Linked DNA regions of Arabidopsis thaliana. Each later gene encodes a partner of the first gene's protein in a complex. Each region holds a gene or a part of one and is shown on either strand. Other genes may lie near its edges.

What was found. The genes of interacting proteins can lie anywhere in the genome.
Region 2: AT3G44240 (region 1) and AT3G58580 share a complex: the UniProt entries of both Arabidopsis thaliana proteins name them as parts of the CCR4-NOT complex.
Region 3: AT3G44240 (region 1) and AT1G73875 share a complex: the UniProt entries of both Arabidopsis thaliana proteins name them as parts of the CCR4-NOT complex.

Annotation. Positions count from the first base shown.
Region 1 is NC_003074.8:15,937,674-15,942,297, forward strand, and holds AT3G44240 (Polynucleotidyl transferase, ribonuclease H-like superfamily protein), read left to right. Parts: upstream 1-2,510; coding exon 2,511-3,230; downstream 3,231-4,624. UniProt on the Arabidopsis thaliana protein: Ubiquitous transcription factor required for a diverse set of processes. It is a component of the CCR4 complex involved in the control of gene expression.
Region 2 is NC_003074.8:21,659,320-21,666,387, forward strand, and holds AT3G58580 (DNAse I-like superfamily protein), read right to left. Parts: upstream 4,777-7,068; 5' UTR 4,379-4,776; coding exon 4,221-4,378; intron 4,027-4,220; coding exon 3,279-4,026; intron 3,187-3,278; coding exon 3,100-3,186; intron 3,019-3,099; coding exon 2,935-3,018; intron 2,859-2,934; coding exon 2,772-2,858; intron 2,675-2,771; coding exon 2,588-2,674; intron 2,479-2,587; coding exon 2,425-2,478; intron 2,330-2,424; coding exon 2,238-2,329; intron 2,143-2,237; coding exon 2,028-2,142; intron 1,942-2,027; coding exon 1,791-1,941; intron 1,696-1,790; coding exon 1,547-1,695; 3' UTR 1,279-1,546; downstream 1-1,278. Other genes in the region: AT3G58570 (P-loop containing nucleoside triphosphate hydrolases superfamily protein), read left to right, coding at 1-51, 211-324, 419-1,033; AT3G58590 (Pentatricopeptide repeat (PPR) superfamily protein), read left to right, coding at 6,943-7,068. UniProt on the Arabidopsis thaliana protein: Acts as a catalytic component of the CCR4-NOT core complex, which in the nucleus seems to be a general transcription factor, and in the cytoplasm the major mRNA deadenylase involved in mRNA turnover.
Region 3 is NC_003070.9:27,778,105-27,786,198, reverse strand, and holds AT1G73875 (DNAse I-like superfamily protein), read right to left. Parts: upstream 5,345-8,094; 5' UTR 5,088-5,344; coding exon 4,796-5,087; intron 4,658-4,795; coding exon 4,494-4,657; intron 4,421-4,493; coding exon 4,355-4,420; intron 4,282-4,354; coding exon 4,229-4,281; intron 3,888-4,228; coding exon 3,806-3,887; intron 3,581-3,805; coding exon 3,531-3,580; intron 3,412-3,530; coding exon 3,339-3,411; intron 3,114-3,338; coding exon 3,021-3,113; intron 2,936-3,020; coding exon 2,903-2,935; intron 2,782-2,902; coding exon 2,690-2,781; intron 2,458-2,689; coding exon 2,325-2,457; coding exon of another isoform or gene 2,241-2,324; exon of another isoform or gene 2,134-2,240; coding exon 2,048-2,133; intron 1,919-2,047; coding exon 1,834-1,918; intron 1,691-1,833; coding exon 1,628-1,690; 3' UTR 1,279-1,627; downstream 1-1,278. Other genes in the region: UGT89B1 (UDP-glucosyl transferase 89B1), read right to left, coding at 1-1,056; BBX16 (B-box type zinc finger protein with CCT domain-containing protein), read right to left, coding at 5,677-5,937, 6,068-6,985. UniProt on the Arabidopsis thaliana protein: Acts as a catalytic component of the CCR4-NOT core complex, which in the nucleus seems to be a general transcription factor, and in the cytoplasm the major mRNA deadenylase involved in mRNA turnover.

The DNA.
Region 1 (4,624 bases):
ATTTTTGCAAAAAAATAATATCATCATTATAAAAAAATAATTAGAGTTTTTTCGCATATGCAATAATTAGAATTTTTAAAAACGAATATAAACTGTTAAATACATGAAAAAATATTATACCGGGTGAAAAATAGATTTAAGAAAACTTTCTACTGAGTAACGGGTCATAATTTGAAATATTTATATTTAATTTCATACATATTATATTGAAAATTTATAATCTTATATACTATAATAATTTTTATGTGTATGATGTGATTCAATTTTTAATACAAGCTAGAAAATCCTAGAATTGACGGGTTTAGATCGATATTAATATAAGATGGTATACTACAGGTGAAACTCTTAAATTAACAATCAAACTACAAGTGTATAATCTTAAACACTAAACAATATAGATAATATCAACAAAACATATACAACTCACAGTTTACTATACATTTAAAATTAAATAAAATAATATCATATATTTTTAAATCATCTTTACAATAAAAGTTTTTAGTTTAACTAAAATATAAGCCTACCTGCGGTATACTACAGGTTAATATCTAGATTATAGGGCTTATTGGATCTAAAGACGGGTCATCAAAGATTTCCTAAACTGAAGCAAAATATACTGAATACTCAAATATCTATCTGTTACCAAATTATAAACAAATAAGTTCGTAAAACAATTTAATATTTTATATACAAAATCAATTAAATCTTAATCACATAAAAATTAGCACAAAAAAAAGTATTCAACAATTAAAAAATTATCAAATCTCTGTGTTATATAAGTTTTGATACTATATTCGAATAAAGTGTAATATTCCTTTTCGATTTGTATTCTTTAACTAATTTAAGCTGACTAATATATTTGTTAATCTTATACCTATCAAAACCGACTATCGTTTTTTATCTCTATAGTATTTTTGCAACATTTGTTTGGTGGATTTGGGTAAAAGTGCATTCGGGTCATATGGTACATTCCCCTATTAAATAAATATGGTGTACTCCTATGTTATCAGCTAAAATATTTAAATTATAATTCAGAGTCATATCATTAGTAAAATTAATATTAATAAAATAAATGGCTTTTTGGCAAGACGGATTTGGAGTGACGGGTTTTTGAATCAACATTAATAAAAAAGTAAAATATAATTAATCCACTGTTTCAATACGGGTTAAATCTTTAATTTATTATTTTTTAAGATCACTAATATTAAACATATCAAATCATCCTAATTTAGAAAAGATTATATAAAACCAAAAATGTTATGTGGTATGTATAATATTACTATATATATAATTAAATTATAAAATATAAATGTATTAGAGAATATACAATTTACAAAACTTTTATATATAAAAAAGAATTCTTAAATTTTAAAAATTACTACTTTAAAAAAAAAATCACAGGACGGGTAAATAAATTATAGAACAGGTTTTATTTTGGAATTGGGTTATATGGTGGATGTATTTGAATCAATATTTATAAAATTTTAAATTATTATTATGCTGTTGTTTTAATAGGGGTTACAACTTCAGTTTTTTAACAATTATCTCATGGATTCGTGGTATAGCGTTATTTAATAACAATTATAAACTGTAAAATATAAATATATTTTAAAATTAAAAATTGCAAATTTTAATATATATTACTTTTAAAATCGTCCCGCGGTATACCGTGCGGTATACCGCGGGTTAAAATCTAGTTTATAGATAAAGCCAATACATTTCCTTGCTAAATTCAACATACTAACAACTAGATTAGTAGAGCTACAATTGCAAATATACCATTCCTTTTACAATATAATTATTTTAAAATAGGTTTTACTAGAACGATTCATCTTAATTAATATAAAATAGAAAAGAAAGTTTATTTTTAAATTTTTGCCTTTTTAACATTTGTAATCTTATCACACTAATATTGTGATGAATATATTAGAAAGTTATTTTGATTTTAGGAAATTGACAGTCTAAATTTTATAGATACATGAACTCATTTACGGACTAAATTCAACATACTAGCAATAACAGCTACAATCACAAATATAGTATATTCTTTTTGATAGATTTATCTGAAAATATATTTTTCACTAAAACAATTAATCTTAACTAATAAAATGGAAAAAGAAAGTTCATTTATGAATTTTTGTCTTTTTAACAATAAGAGTCTCATCACATTAATATTGCTAGTGATGAAATATGTTGAAAAATAGGTTTACTTTTGGTAGTAAACCAATAAAAGAATAATCTGAATTTGTAGCATTGATTTCTTATAATATTGTGAATTTTAAATACCTGAAAGGTGAATTTAAATGATCAGTAATTACAATATTAGTCTCGCAAGAAAACAAGAAATTTCCTTTTCCAAAACCGAAATAACTAATAAAATCAAATCCAAGACTTTTGCGGCGGTGACAGACTCTATAAAGAAGTTTCAGTCCCAAGACTCCCTCACATTATTTTCTCTCGCTCTCGAACAAAATGGTCGTGAAATCTGGAATTGAAATAGGAACAAGGAGATGAGTTTAATAGAAGATTGTCTAAGAAGCTACCGTTTCATTGCAATAGACACAGAGTTTCCATCTACTTTGAGGGAAACTACACAACATGCGACAGATGAGGAACGTTACATGGATATGAGTTTTAGTGTGGACAGAGCAAAATTGATCCAGTTAGGGCTAACTCTGTTCGATATCAATGGAAGAATTGGAGGAACATGGGAGATCAATTTCTCTGATTTCGGAGTTGACGATGCTAGAAACGAGAAATCCATTGAGTTCCTTAGACGCAACGGTCTAGATCTAAGGAAGATTAGAGAAGAGGGCATCAGAATCGAGGGTTTCTTCTCGGAGATGTTTTGGATGCTGAAGAAGACGAGGAGGAATATTACTTGGGTCACGTTTCATGGATCTTACGACATCGCCTATTTACTCAAGGGTTTCACCGGAGAAGCTTTACCTGTGACTTCAGAGAGGTTTTCTAAAGCGGTCGCGAGAGTTCTCGGTTCTGTTTACGATTTGAAAGTCATGGCGGGTCGATGTGAAGGACTAAGTAGCAGGCTTGGTTTGGAGACTCTAGCGCATGAGTTCGGACTTAACCGTGTTGGTACTGCACACCACGCCGGTTCCAATAACGAGTTAACGGCGATGGTTTTCGCTAAGGTACTGTCTCCGTTTCCTCTCTTTCTTCGTTTTGGTTCTTTGGAGTTAAGAACTATAGAAAGTGAAGCAATAGTGTAGTGTGTGTGTGTGCTTTGTGCCTTTGTCTAATCCTAAGACTGATCAATGATATATGTCCGTTCAATTATTTTTCTAGTAATGAGATGTTTTCAAGACTCAAGATACATTGAAGATGGAGAAGTAGCAGCATACACCAAGAATAATTTGACATGGCCCAATTGAACAAGATCATTCCCATCCTTTACCATGTCTTGTGATCCTAGCTTGTGTTTCTGCTGTGTATTGATTTGTGATCTTAATTCAACACTAGAACTTTTTCTTCATTACATGTTGACTTGACTAAAATGTTGATACTAATATACTACACAATCATTTAGATGCATGAATGATCAAGTTCTATTCTGATTGATATTGTCTTCATAGAACTTAGTGATTAACTAAATTTTATTTATACACTATTATTCAAATAACCATTTGTATCGTATTCTCATTTACATGGCTTTGATAGAATTTAGTAATGCTCAGTTTATATAAATTGCCAAATATGATACCAAATATTTGTGCCTCGTCATAGATCATGAATTAAACTACTGTATATGATTATCTAGTTATTATTTTTATTATTTTAATTAAGTCCGAACTGTATTTAAAATGTTTAATAAAAATAATTTATTAACTTCAAATATTTCATAAATATCTCATACAATGAGCTCACAGGCAGAAAAAAAGAAATAAAATATTCAAAATCTAAAGTTCCTACCTGCTATTTTTCTGCAAATTCTCTCACTTCACTAGATATTTTTTGATTAAAATCGAGAAAAGTAAATGGTTTAAAGATGATATTTTCCGATTAGTAACCACTTTTGAGGAAAAAAATGAGTAGGAAAATCGTGTTCCTCTTTGTTCCTAATTTTGTTTTAGCATTTGCAAGGTATTTTTGTTCCAATTTCAGACATGTGGGTCCTACATTTTTCCTCATCATTCCTAAAAAAAAAAGAATAATAGAACAAAATTGTTTCACCCCAAAATTGTAGAGGAACCAAGAGTAACAAAAAAAATAAAATTCGTTTTTATTTATTAAATAAATTTAAAATAGCTTTTATGATAATATTTATATTTCTATATATAATATTTTCCATGTCTTTAGTATATATTGATATATAATTTTTTTTATCAAACTTTCAATTTAATGAATGTTATGAATTTATTTTAAATTAGTATAAATAAATGTTTTAAAGTGAAATTTATTTTAAATTTGCAAAATAATTTAAAATTTTACTATAAAATAAATAAATGTTTTGGAGAGAAATTTATAATATAATTTATTTTAAATTTATACAGAACTTTAATTTTAAATGAAATTAATAAACAAAATTCAATAAATAATTTTTTAGTAATTGTTATGTTAAATATTAATTCACCTTTTTAGTTACCATTTACCATAATCATTTTGT
Region 2 (7,068 bases), 5.7 Mb from region 1:
CATCTAATGGACCTTCTTCATGCCCAGAGGGAGAATGGTAACCAAGGAAAGGTAATTTAAATCAATATGATTGGTTTCATGGTTAAAAGTGAACATAGTCAGTACTATTGCTCCTTTCGGTTTCACGATTCTGTTTCATTGTCTCTTTGTTCTATTTGATGCATTGTTGTTCAAGAGCACCTTTACAATCCAATTTATTTTATTCTACAGCAAGCTTTGACTCTAGTTTTTGTGGAGACAAAGAAGGGAGCTGACTCTTTGGAGAATTGGTTGTGCATCAATGGTTTCCCAGCAACGACCATTCATGGTGATAGGTCACAACAGGTTAGTGAGTTGTTGATATCAAAATTAGGATATTGTAGAGTATTCTTCAGTGCAACCAAAGCTAAAACCTTATTGTATTTTTTATGCATACAAGGAAAGAGAAGTGGCACTGAGATCATTCAAGACTGGGCGGACACCTATTTTGGTTGCAACCGATGTGGCAGCACGTGGTCTTGACATTCCGCACGTGGCTCATGTAGTGAACTTTGATCTACCAAACGACATTGATGACTATGTCCACCGTATCGGACGAACAGGACGTGCAGGAAATTCAGGACTAGCAACTGCTTTCTTCAATGACAACAACACAACAATGGCCAAGCCACTGGCTGAGCTAATGCAAGAAGCTAACCAGGAGGTCCCTGACTGGCTGACTCGATACGCATCTCGTGCTTCATTTGGAGGTGGTAAGAACCGGCGGTCTGGTGGACGGTTTGGTGGTCGTGACTTCAGGAGAGAATCTTTTAGTCGAGGCGGTGGTGGTGCTGACTACTATGGTGGAGGTGGTGGATATGGAGGCGTTCCTGGTGGTGGCTATGGAGCAATGCCTGGTGGGTACGGACCCGTACCAGGTGGTGGATATGGAAATGTTCCGGGTGGTGGTTATGCACCTTATGGTAGAGGTGGTGGTGCTTACTATGGTCCTGGAGGATATGGAACCGTTCCTAACCAAGGGTATGGTCCTGGAGTGGCTAGTGCGTGGGACTAAGCTTTAACTTCAATTCTTCAAGAACCGATTATGTTCTCTTTCTCTCTCACTTATCTCTATTGTTTATTATTAGGGAGCAGCCACAGATGTGTATGTTTGCTCTTTAAATGGTTATGTAGTAGACACGAATCGTCTCTTTGTTCAATGTGAAAAAAGAAAACCCCCTAGTAGACCCATATTATTCTCATGAGCTATTTAGTCATACAAAGCAGTTCAAACATTAAAATTGATCCAAGGAAAAGAAAAGTCAAAGGGTTTTCACTATATTGAGGATCAAAATGAGATATAAAAGGAGGTTTAGACAGAGCCACACAGGGGTCATAATAAAGAATGACCAACTTCATAGAGTGGTTTGCCTTACTCAGAATCCCTTTGAATCTTTGTGTCATCTCTATCACAGATTTGGTAAAGGTTTCGTCTAAACAGTTGATGTCATAGTCTGATCAAAGAAGAAGATCGGAACAAAAAAAAAAAACCTATCTGTAAGCAAATGATGGTGGGTGGTGAAGGCGGTTAACCGCGTCTTGTCCTAGGCGTGCATCGAAATTCAGCTAAGAGAGCAATGTGATTAGAAGACCATTCTGGGGAAGGAAGAGCTGTGTCTTTTCTTAATCCATCTTCATCCAGTAATTCCAATAGAGATTCCACCATTAATGTATCCGCTGAAACCCAAACACAAAAAAATCTTCCAATTAAGTTAACTTGTTATTTCTGATGTAGTTGAAAACAAGGACAATGGAGTTAAAAATGGTGAAACCTGTGTAGAATATGTAGTCATGAGTGCCGATGAAGTCCCTTGTACAATTGGTAAACAAAGGCTCGTTTGTATTAAGATCTATTCTCCTTCTGTGTTGTTCCAATCCAAGACCCATTATTCCCTTTCTCACAAACGATGAGTACGCGCTCACCTGAAACCAATTCATTTATCAAATATCCAAGAGAGACGCAAAGATAAGCGGTATAAATTTACTTAAATCGAAAAAAGCAATGTTACCAGAGGCAATTGATGAGTCAATTTGGTGTGAGGACGCAGGATATTAAGGGGATCGACTGCCAGATCTGGGTGCATTGGATCAACCTTTCCCATTACAAGAAGTGTATGAGGTGCACTGTCATAAAAATGCCAAAAAGAAAAACTTTAGCTACTCATAAGAGAATTCTGCATTTCATGTATCATGTCAAAAGAATTTATGAATCAACAAACCTCCCAGGAAGCGTATTGAAGTCTCCACACACAAGCATAGGAATATCGGCACTAGCTGCTATTTTCTCTAGTCCCTTTAATAAGGTATGAACCTAAACGCAAAAGAATAAAAGAAAACATGAGGTGAATACTAATTCTTTCGAGTTCAATGAAATTTGATTTATTTCGGATATAGAGATACACCAACCTGCCAGAGCTTCACATCCTTCAGATCTTGTTGAACATTTACATGTGTGTTTGCCTAAACAAGTTGCCACAACAAAATAAGAAAATTCATTGGCTTTCACTAAAAGAGCATATACAGAAACTAACAGTTCTCATGAGAATGGAAAAAAAAAAAGAACCAGTACCACACAAATAAGCTGGCGCTTCCCAGAAGGATCAGTAGGTTGATTACCAAATTTGGCTTCAAGAACAACTATCAACGCAATGTTATCCTACAACATAAGAATCATTGGTTTCAGTTTTGTAAACAATAACTCTCTGATAATCAGCTGTGGCCCAGAAAAATATTGTATACCATGTCAAAAATACCTTAACCAGTCGGTTTAAAGCAGTTCTCTTCTGAGCCTGAGGGATTAGAGCGTCAGTCAAAGACTGAGCAGCCTTGTTGAATTCAACCTGGATTTACAGTCCATGAATTAGTATAGAGATCTTACTGGATCTAGCAAGTAAACATATAGAACTGAATACAAACATCATATTTCTTGACATGCGAAAACCTATCCCGCCGGAAAAATGTTGCACAGCCGTCAATGGCACTTGTACTTCCGCTGAGAACCTAGCAACAAGAAATTTGTGGTTAATAGATTTTAAAACATAAATCACTGAAGGAAGGAGTGTGTGGAATCATTGACCAAACCTCATTAGTCTTCCTCTTGTAAAGAGCTTGATACCCATGCTTATCCAACTCAGGAGCAAAAATTTCATGGAAATGATCACTTTGTACCTGCCAGATAACAAAAAAAAGAACACATTAGAAGTAGATTTTTCAGAATTAAAATGCTTTAAATCATTACCAAGTCCATACGAATAACATACTTCTTGCAGGCAAACTACATCGGCTCTATATCCAACAATCTCCCTTAACAAATTCTGTCTTCGGTATGGCCATGAAAGAGCCCAAGGAGGACAGTAACTGTAGAGGTCGCTACTTGCAGAAGTATCAGACAAAATGTTATATGAAAGAACAGTGAATGATCCTGCAGACTGAATCCGAGCATCTTGATCTAAGTGACCCATCCCATCAGCTCCGTTAACAGGGATTAGCTTACGGGGGCTTGGAGAAGGAGCAGGAATAACCCGTGAAGTCAAAATGGTACTAGGATGTCCGACAATCTGTTTAGTCTCAGCATTAGCCACAACACACTCGAACTTCAAAACGTGGCTAATATCATCAGCTGTTGGAGTGTACGTTTTGCAACCCCCAACCTCAACTAAAGTCTCTCCTCCATTTTTCTGAGTAATATTAGAAGGATAAAACGGAGCTGGACCATTGTTGGCAATACTAAGATTTGACATAGACCCAGATAAGGAACCAGCGAGAGACCCAGAACCCGCACTGTTATTCCTGTTCAAGTCATCATCCTCGTTTGCGTTGTTTTCCGCAGCTGCTCGCTCGTGCAAAGTCCTGTGATGCTGCCACGCATCCGTGAAGCATTTTGGCGAACAGTGATAGCTTTTTGGAACAAGGGATCTACGCTTAGAACAGAAAACACACTGTAAAGTAGCTTGTTCCGTTGGATGCACACTGCAAATCGTTACTTTCTTATCACTCTGTACACGATACCTACAACAAATAAATCCAAAAAATGAATCTACAACAAGATCAGAACTTTACACACAAAAACCATTTGACGACCTAAATCAGAACATCTACATGAGAAATCTCTGAATTCAGATCAAAATTCAATCTTTGATAAACCCCAATTCGCCAAATGATCCAAGAAAGCAATTAGACAAAGAGCCAATCAGAAATCTAACCATCTGTATCTCAAGAAGTAGCCTTCAAGAGGAGCAGATTCAGGGACGTCATCAGTGGTGGAGTTCTTATCGGGACGACGAACAAGGACGTAAGGAGTCAATTCACAGCCCACAATGGGAATTTCAGAAGGAAGATGCACTCGGATCACGCTCAGCATTGCTTTTCAATAACACCTGGTGATTGTCGAAGAACACTATCGAAGCAGCAGCAGCAGAGATTCAGAATCGAAGCAAGACCTTGATGATGATTATTAGATGATGAATATTGTCGTTGATAACCTAATGAAGTGGAGCGTACGATAGGCTGATCCACCATTTACTTGAACCGAAAACCCGACCAATCTCTAGAAACCCTAGAAAATGTCTTCTTCAGACAAGGTTGAAGATCCGGCAGAACCAAATTAGAATCGAAGAAAAGAAAAAAAGAAAGGAAAATGATGGTATCGAGAAAGCTTATAAGAGATGTGAGATCTTGAAGGAATTTTGTATTAAGGATCGATTCTTTCGCTGTGAATATGGAAAAAATCAATGAAATCGATTTTGGTTTTTTTATGTGTTTTTTTTCCCCGAGTGGGTTTAATACTAAAACTATTATTTTGTGCTTTGAAGACATTATTATGAAATTTTATAATATTTTAATTGATCTTCCTTTTCGATGAAAATTTTGGTTTTGGCGCTCAAAGATTGAAAGTTTTTCGTTTTATTTTTGTTTATATAAAGATAAAATTTTAAAATCTAGAAAATGCGTAAAAACAAATAATCCACAACTAAACATGACTTACCAAAGACAAATCAAGATTTATGACTCGTACCATTACGAAAACAAGATTGGTGACTTAAAAGAAGTGTATTTATATCTATGATAGATTGAAGAAAGAAGGAATGGTGAAGATGAGTCAATAGGTGAGTGTTCAACGCACATTCAGTAGGAGCCAGGAGGTGTAGTTTCTTCGTTAAGATTAAGAGACAAGAAATATCAATTCGTGATATAATTATCTTGAAGACGATTTGTTGCAGATTAAGGTAGAATTAACTTCTTCTTCTTTTTTGTTTTTTTTTTAAAATGTGAGAATTACCCAAGAAGAGCAGCATAGTTTATCAATTCAATTGATCTTCTTAAGAATTGTTGAATTTGTCAAATTAATGAAAGAATCACATTTTAACATTGTCAAAATTGTCATGTTCATTTTCGCTTTTGTTTTCGTTTTAGCTAGTTCATTTGGTTTTCATAAATATAAGCGGTTCAAACCTGAAATAATTAAGGTTCGAATTATGAAAATTTTGTTGGTTTTTAATAAATTTAGGTAGACTAAATTTCATTCTTTTCAGGTTTACTCAATTTTAAAGTATAGAAATTTAAGATTTATATCTAACTTTTGTTGTATTTGATATGAAAAGTTATCGGTTTGTATTTTACCGAATTTAGATAACTATTTACAAATTATTATTTTGAACTAATTATAGAAAACAAATACAATGCGTGTCCAGTAAATCAAAGTTGAGAGATTTCTTTCTCGTTTTTAAGCATTCAACACAATTTTTTCTATTTGTTATTTCGGAGGCCTGAGTCCACATTTTATATGAAGCATAACATGGAAAATAATAATAATTATTATTTTTCGAAAGCGATCTTTTCCAAACAAAGAAGCCTCAAACACTATATACGCTACAAAATAACATCTCGACCTTGTAACAAAGAATGCATTAGATATTTTTTTTTTTAATCAAAATTGTTGAGATGAGCAAAAGCACAGAACGTATTCAACTTTTCAAAAGGGTTGTGGCAGCTGAATATTATTTGTTCTATGATGGTAACTAACAATTTGTTTATTTTTTGTTCTTTATAGTGAAATCTTTTGATTTGATTTTTCTTTTTGTTGTTGTTAGTTTTGTTGGAAGCCGTCAAAGACATACAAAAATTGAAAGTTGATCTAACGATAGAAGAGAAGAAATGCTTAGAAATGGTAAATGAGAATCTATTTAACGAGACAGTAAAGATACTAAAACCGCTCGAAGATATGGGTATGAGGTCTGAAGAAACAATCATTATAGATGATAATCAAAAGATGATTAAAGAGTATTTGGAGGACACCTTCATAGTTTGTCATAAAATATGTAAGGAGATTCAAAAGTTGGGTATTTGCCCTTTGTGAGTTAAGTACTCTTATCGTCCTTTTTCTCTAGAGATTTGGAGGGTTTTTCAATATGAATTAGATATGTAAACCAATATTATTCAAACATGAGGTATAATCTAAAAAATGTGAAAGGAAAGATGGAAGGGATGAGGAGAGCAACCTTTTTTATTAATGATAAAATTTCATTGGAAATGATAAACAAATTAAATTATGGAATAAAAATAAAATTATTCAAAAAAAAAAAGTTGAGTTGATTTTGGTTCATTTAGAAAACCATAATATTAATTCGATTTTCTTTTGTTAAATATGGGCCAATTTGAAAGATCTTATTTGTAAAATAATATGGGCCAGATTGGTCAATTGGACAGATAAAACCGTGATACTGTGGTTGAACCAGCCGGTGCGGTCTAGATCAATTATTTAGTTCCCTGGTTCTGAACTTCAAACTTTGTTCTTGATGTTTATAAAAATCCGAACTTTTAAAATTTCAGACCTTTATTAGAACTTTCTTCATGATGCACGAAACTTAGTTCTTAATTATAACTGAGATCGATCTGGGAAGTACTCTGTTTTCAGTATCCTTCTGCATGAGCCTCAGCTGTGGAGATCTCGCCAATCACAACGATCGTGTAGTTAGCTTACTCAATGTCTGCAGAAAAGCTCCTTCCTTTGCAAGGACCAAAGCTCTTCACGCTCTCTCCATCACTTTATGC
Region 3 (8,094 bases), on another chromosome or scaffold:
AGCTACTTGTGGAGCCCATCCTCTGATCACCAGACCTCTCCCAGCCACGCGATCGTCGAAACCGTCCAGGATGTTGCCACGTGTTGAGTCTTTCTCAACGGGCTCCTTTACGGCCCATATGAAATGGACGCCGCTTTTCTCAAGCCCAGAGGCGAGTGCAAGAGTCTGCTCTTTAGTCAAAACTACTTGACTTCCAAAGCACACGTACACCACGTGGTTATCCTCACGTGCGTCAAGCCACGACATCACGTGATCAACAGAAACAGAAGTCGGGCCACCACGGTTATCCCCAGATAACGGAATAATTGGGCCTACAGCCCATACACGATCATGGCCCATCTCTCGCTTAAGATGTTCGAGATAAACACCTTCCATGGCGGTGAACGAGTTCACGACGAGTCCCCAACTCGCCACGTTATCTCTAAAGGAGTCTCTTATGAACTCCCAAGCTGGATCTCCGTGAACGTAACTTCTGTAAAGAGAGGAGATCTGATCAAAACGGTATTTTGGACAATTCGGGATCTTGGGAAAGTGGAGGATCTCGTTATCGTCATCTTCGTTGATCTTGGTGGGCATTTCGATCCAGAGAGTATTGAGTATGCAGCAAGTGATAGCAGCGGAGGGAGAGAAATCGAAACGAGGGATTCCGAGGTTTTTGGTCCAACCAAGGAAGAAATCAGATACGATGGCTACTGGAGGAGAAGGGTGAGAAGTAATCCAAGAGATAAGCGGCGCGTGGAGATTACCAAGCGCGTGGATCATTAAAGGGAAGCCTGAAGGAGGTAAGTCTTGGACGTTTTCGACGCCGGAGGGGATTGAAGGGTGGGAGGGAAAAGGGAGGATAAGTGGTTCGATGTTAACTACGGCGGAGAGAAGCGGAGAGAGAAAAGGAAGGTTTTTTGGAGTGACTAGGACGGTTATTTTTAAGGCGGCGCCGCCGCGGAGAGCAAGGCGGTGGGTGAAGTCGAGGAGGGGAATCATGTGACCTTGCGCCGGAAATGGGAAGATTAAGACATGGGTCTTTGTCGGCTTGTTGTTTTCCTCGTTCACTTTCATAATGAGCTTTTCTAGTGGGACTTTTTTTTGTTTATGCCGGAATGTTTTGGTGGAGCAAAGAGAAAAGAGTGATTTAAATAGATGTGTGTTAACTGTAAATGGCCGATTTGTGTACCCAATGTATTCCCAACACTTGGAAAGAATGCTTACGACACTTTTGATAATACCGTGTGGTATTTTGATTAATGCAGCGTCAGATGACACTTGAGAAGAGCTTATTTTGGAGTGAACAGATTGAGATACTTTTTACGCAACGTCTCTTACATTGTTTTGCTTCTAGTAGCAAAATGGGTCTTCGCTCCTCATAGGTACACGTCCAGTAACATGCTATTTTGGTATTAACTTTTTAAAAGCAGAAAGAGTAGGTGCAAGTCTTGGGTAGGTAAGGTAAAAAAAAATGTTTCAAGTAAGCAAATCTATGTATGGGAATGAGCCCAAAACTTGTTTATGTTTTACAATTTACTGAATCTGTTTCCGAACTCCAATTCAGAAGCCTCGATGAGCATTCAAAAACCTCAAGGGATGGCCAAGTCAGGTGGCTCGGTTTAGTGGTTGGTGCTAACATTTTGGCTCATTGCCAGTCATTGACAAAGCCGAGTTCACATGCGATAGCGAGATGGTCGCTTCCCCAATTCTGCAAATTTTCATTGGTCAGAGACTTGTATGCAACTCTTCCAATAATCCCAGTTTTTACATTCTTGAAAAAATGAATAGAGTAACTCGAGAAAGTAAAGGGTTGCCCCAGAAAAAAAGTTTAGCCTAGAAAAAAAAACTTACCTCACTAGGTAGTCCACCTGTTCTTCTCAATACATCTGCTGGCAAGGTCTCAAGAACCCTCACAGGAACGAGTTCCTTGGTATGCCTGGGTTCAAAACCTCAGATTAATTATTGAGATTTCAAAATTACATGTGCATATATCACAACATTGATAGCCATATATAATTGAAAGCTCTGATTAATGATTCGGATTTCATAAGCACAACAGACTTACCATATATAATCAACAGTTCCAAGGAACCTGGAATGATACGTTGTTGCCAATGGTTCACCGCGTTGATCTCTAGTTCTATATGTACCCTGCAAGATCTCAGGTCTTAGCATACTAGAAGGATATATAACATCATACAACATGCTACTTTCCCTAAACGTTTTTCAGTATCTAGTATAAAAGAAAGCCACAGTTCCTAAGAACTTAGTTTTCCTGTAAGGCAGATTTCAACTCTTTTCGATGCGTCCACCAGTCGAGAACAAGAAACAAAAACACTTACAGGAACTCCACTATATGCGCTGTTAAGCTTCAGTTGATGTTGGACATGAGTGGTTTCTTGACCACCAGTTGCAAGCTGTAATTCTTCCTGGCTCCACTCATTGAGTAGTGATCCGGAGATGGATGCTGAAGCACTGACGAAAGAGGGAGTTGTTTAGTTAGACTAAATTGAGATAGAAACTTCATCTGAGGATTACGTAGTTGATTAAGCGCAGGCCAAAGAAAAATATAAGTAATCTATCACTCTATCAGTTCATCAGGTAAACAGAAGAGATATAAGCAATCTATCCGTTCATCAGGTAGGCAGAAAAGGAATATGGATACATTATTTAGAGAAACCAAAGACCCCGGTGAATTACAAGCTACCTAAATGCATAATGGTTTCTGAATGACCTCTCCTTTGGTTCCACTTCAGTCTGGCCAGAAATTTGCCTGCGATCGTGAAGTTGTGTATCCAACTGTCCAAAATTAAAAAAGGAATATAAAGAGTTCATTCTAACTTTCCCAGTAAAGAAAGGAAAAAAATTATGACCAGGCGAAATGTAAAAGAAAGAGTCCAGAACCCTCAATGGAACTCACATCAGCTGAAGCTATGAAATCATAGATTGCACTCTGTACAGCAAATCCAGAGTAAGTTTTAGAATTCAGCTAAAAAATAAGTATTAGAACAAAAAAAACAAAAGTTGGTAGAGATCACCTGTGGAGTGCTATTCAGATCACCTGCAATCGCCACAGGAATATTTCCCCATTCCTGTGATAGCTTGTAAGCCTTCTCCAGAAAGAGTCTTACCTATAAGTTATGACATATCAAATATCAAGAAATGAGCGAGCTACTTAGAATTTCAATGAAGTTTCAATACTGACAGGCATTGATGTACTGATGAATACCATAAAATAGTACTAGCTAAAAAATTGACATTTCTAAACTCAGGATGTGTAGTGACAGAAATGCTCTACCGATTTTATGGATAAGCCAGTTTTTATCAGAATTTTGTAAGGATCTAGCAAGACATACCTGGCCAAGCTTGATATCCCCACGCTTAGGATTGAATAGGACATGTATATTCCCAACCACTAGCCTTCGAGGACTAGTAGAAGTTTGCATAAATCAACCAAACATGGAAGTGCGCATAAAATTTAGTAAGGATCTTAAAAGTAAGTTCAATATTCACTCCAGTAAAGGAATCAGAACAGAACTCAGACATACTCTGATGATCGCACCCGTAATTTAGACTTTGGGTCCTCCTCACAGTTCATCTGTTCCGTAATAGACAATCAAGTAAATTAATTAATTGCAAGGGCTGAAACTAAGAAAATTAAGCAATTAGCCTGCAAAGCTGAAAACACAACAGGAGGGAAAAATATATAAAATAATGCCCACAATTAAGCTTGTCATATCTCTGTGCTTCTAGAATCAAGAAAAGACAGAGGAGAAAAGAGGGGGAAGACGACAATACAGAAATAACTTAAAACGGTGCATACCTCTAAAACACAAAGTTGAGCAACATTGTTTCGCATACCAAATTTATCAAACTCTATATGTTGATGGTCTAGAAGTTCAAATCTGCATTCACAGCAGAAATATAACATAAATGATGAAACTAGTAGAGTAAGAGTCTAATACAAAATAAATAACATCGAGAACAATAGAAAGCAAAGCTTTCAGCCTTGAACAATATATTGTGAAGCCAAGGTCAAAGCTGATAACATAACACAACGTGAACCTACCATTAACAATTTCGAAACATTCAAAACAGATAACTAGAAGATCTAATTTATCTCGTTCCAAAAGAGAGATATTCCCTGTAGACAATTCAAATGGCTAGATTCCTGATCCTGACTCCAGCATATAGAGACTTCCCACCACATTAAAAATGATCCTAAATAGAAAAAAACTGAACTTACAGATTCTCTTTCCAAAATATAGCACAACCATCACTCGCTTCTCCAGTCCGACTCTAAAAAATACTAAATGTATGAAAAAGGCACCATTGCATACAAGGTAATAAAGCTTTTGACTCGTATATATACCTTGTGAACACCTCGAAATCCTCTATTTTTAAGAAGAACATCTAAATCATCAAAGCGGTCAACCTCCTGCAATAAATTTGGACATGAGAATGCAATGAAACTTAAATAGTGTAGATCTAGGCAATCCCCTGGAACTTGCCTGAAGACATAAGATGCTTGCATTGTAACGACTAATCTCCTTGCATATGAGATGTTTCCGTCTACTCCACTCTAAGTGCTTCCGCGGAACATTGTAATACAAGTCCATGTGGTTCGACGCATTGTCAACACCAAGTAGATTGTACGAAACTAATACTAATTTATCTGAAGAATTGAAAAGGAGATATCAAGTTTTTCATACACATAAGATAAAAATGTGTTCAAAGTACGGAATGTGATACTTCGTGAAGCTAATAAAAGCATATAAGTGCATTATTCAGTGTGATTGCAATGCACACAGACCTGCTAGATTTTCAAAATTGTTTGCGGAAAACACCCATTCGCGCTCAACGGAACTCGAGATCTTCTCCTTAGTTCTCCGTCGCCGGCGGAGAGAAGACTTACTATGTCTGACAGGTTTACAATCACGCTGGCTGAATCCCGGCGTAAAAGAACGGTGAGGTTTTAAGGTTATTGACTCCTTCCTATTCGATTTCTCGTATACGTTCTCCGATTGTTCCGAAATCGAGTTACGCTTCCGCTTGGTGATGGTGATTGAGTTCGCCGTCGTGTTCTTACGCTCGTATCCGCTCATGTCAATCGTAGCAAGTCGGCGGCGCGTGAGCTATGCGTCAACCTTGTGAAGTTAACCAAATTCAGTCGGTTGAAATTCACGATTTTTACTGGTTAACGATTAAAATACGTACTTGATAACCCAAACCGGTTGGCTTAAGTAGTTGCCTAGTTGGGCTCTTTATGTTGGTTTTTTTAATTGTGTGATGGGCTATTCAGCCATAACTAGGCCTTAATGGCTTTTATTTCTTGCTTCATTTGTAAATTGTTGGAAATGGCATGTTCTAATTTGAACTTGTTTCTTGTTTTTTTTTTGTTTTTTTTAATTACACTTGTTTTCTTTGTAACATGTCTTCGCTACGAATTTTTTAGTGTTCGTTATTATCACACATTATGGCTTTTTTCTCCAATTCATTTGATAAACAAAGAGTTTTCATTTGATATATACAATAAATTACTCAATCAATCAATCTATAAAATCATAGTTGCCGGCTACAAGTCTACACAACCATCGGCCCCAAGAGTTTCAGTTCATTATTCAGTACATTACGACAATTACTTCAAAGGTCTTAATTACAAGATCTTTAAAGTGTTGATTAAAGTAAATCAAATCACGTCAAAAGTGACGTCCTCTTCACGAAACGACCTTTGATTCGAGGTCTCTGCTCAGCGTTAAGTTTCCGAACCTCATATCTTATTTTCTTTGAGAACAACCTCGTCCTCCGCTTCTCCTTGTACCTCAAAACCCTCGCCTCTCTCTCCCCGTCCGATCCTCCTCCGTCTCTCCCTTGCTGACGTGTCACCGATCCGTCGCTCGACATCAATTTCTCGTACCCACCCACAACATGAGGCAGACACGTGTTCCCTCCCAACTGGATCAGTGAACTTTATAACGTTATTTCGTCTTTTATAATCAATATATATCAGCTCAAAGTCAACGGAACTCGACACTACTAAAGACTAACATAGAGATGAGAGATATAGCTAGAGACACCAACTTACCATGCACTCCGGTTTGATTCCGGTTTTCCACGGCGAACCGTGATTATCCCAAGCACTAATCACAGCTCCATAATCTAATCTCAGAAACAAACTTGTCTTTCTATCTTTATCATTTGATGCTTCTCTATCACTATCCTTTGATCCTCCATTTTCACACTTGGCTTCTTCTTCTTCTTCATCTTCATCTTTCACCCTCTTCAAATCCTTACAATTAATCTCAAACCCTACTTTATTCTCTTCTTTGATGACTCCAACATCGTTTGGTTCCTTGAATCCCAAGCAAAGTTGTTCTTCCTCAAGTAAACTCTCCACGTCCATAGTGAGATCCTCAAGATCCATATCCAATGGCACGAACCCCATAAAACCTTCATCGTCCATGATTGCCTTCTCGACTTCTCCTAATTCTCCATTAGTAGTAGTGTTATTGACTTCATCAGGAACTAAGCAAAAGCCGTTTATATCATCAATCAGCATGTCTGAGAAAGGATCGAAAACAGGCACGCAACAATTCAGACTCTCCTCGGTTTCTTCTACGGAGGAGAACGAGAAAAAGCCATCATCTTCGTCTCCACCAAGCTCCGGAACAAGAGGATCGTTTGACTCGATTTGCAACAACTTCTCAAACGCACAACTCTTGCTCCTAGGCGTTCTCGCCTTTCTCCTGAATCCTTCGTACCATACCGACGTCGTTTTGTCTGCCGTCTCCGTCGGCGAAGATGATTGTAACCGGACACGTTCGTGCCGTTTCGCTAAATGGTTAGCCGAGTGGATCGAGGCGTCGCAGCTTTGGCATAGGAAAGCGTCATCGGCTGGACAGTACCAACTAGCACGTGATCTCTTCATGCACGCATCACAGCCACGCGCCGCCATCTTCTCTCCTGTCACGCTCGCGGTTCGGCTCTCTACATCGACCACCATTGTGTGTGTATATTACACAGTGAGAGAGTTGCTGAGATGGAGAGAGAGGCCTTGAGAAGAACAAAATACTGTAATATATATGGTTTTGCAACGAATTCACTAGTGTGTGTGGCGTCTCGATTTCCCGGCAGTATTTTTCATTTTTTTCAGAATTATTATTTTTTCATTACCTTGTGTGGTCTAAATTATTTGGAGTGGAGATAGAAATATAAATAAAAACTCATAATTCTATTCATAGTTTATTATGTACGTGTACATGGTATTTTAGAATGAGGACTTTTCACGAGTTTTTTACTTCAAATTTACAATTTTTGTTTTCATTATATTACGTACTTTCAAATAAATGTTTAGAACCATATACTTTTTTTTTGAAAAATTAGAACCATATATATACTTTATTCTTAAATAAAATTTTGAACCAATATGTCTGTAATTTTGCGCTCTCTCCGTTTTCATGATATAGTAAAATATGATCCTCAAATTCTTAATTACGATCTAACCGCTAGTTCATGTATGGTACTAAACTTCATCATTCTTTTCGGAAAATAAGTCATAGTGAAATACAGTTTGGTGAAGACACTGTTATAGATGGTGTTTTTTTTTCGTTGGCAAACACTGTTGAAGATGGTTAATATCAAATAATAAAATTGATCTTGTTGAAATATTAAAAGACAAAAAAAAATGAAAAATTTAAGTTCTGTGTAAAACTAGCTATTGGTGGTTAGTCAAGAGGAAACTTATAATGGAACCCACTGGTGATCTGATTCTGCCTCCTTATTGGTTGAAATATACTGTCATCTCCGTTTTTGCACTCTGATTGGCTCAAGTTCTTCCATGGAGATTCTTACGTGGACCCCACATTTTCAAGTTTTGTTTTGAAACTATTTTGTTTGTTGGTGCGTTTGCATGACCGCAACGCAGCGTGATACTTTAAACGCAGGAAGTTACTTTTCATCTTTTCTTTTCTTTTTTTGTATAGCAAACGACATTCTTTTTTGGAACTTCCAACAACACCTGTGAAGTTTTGTAGAACATTTAACATCCAACTTCTAATGTTTGATGATAGAAAAAAGGATTATATGTCACTAAAAATGTAAAATTTCTGCTTT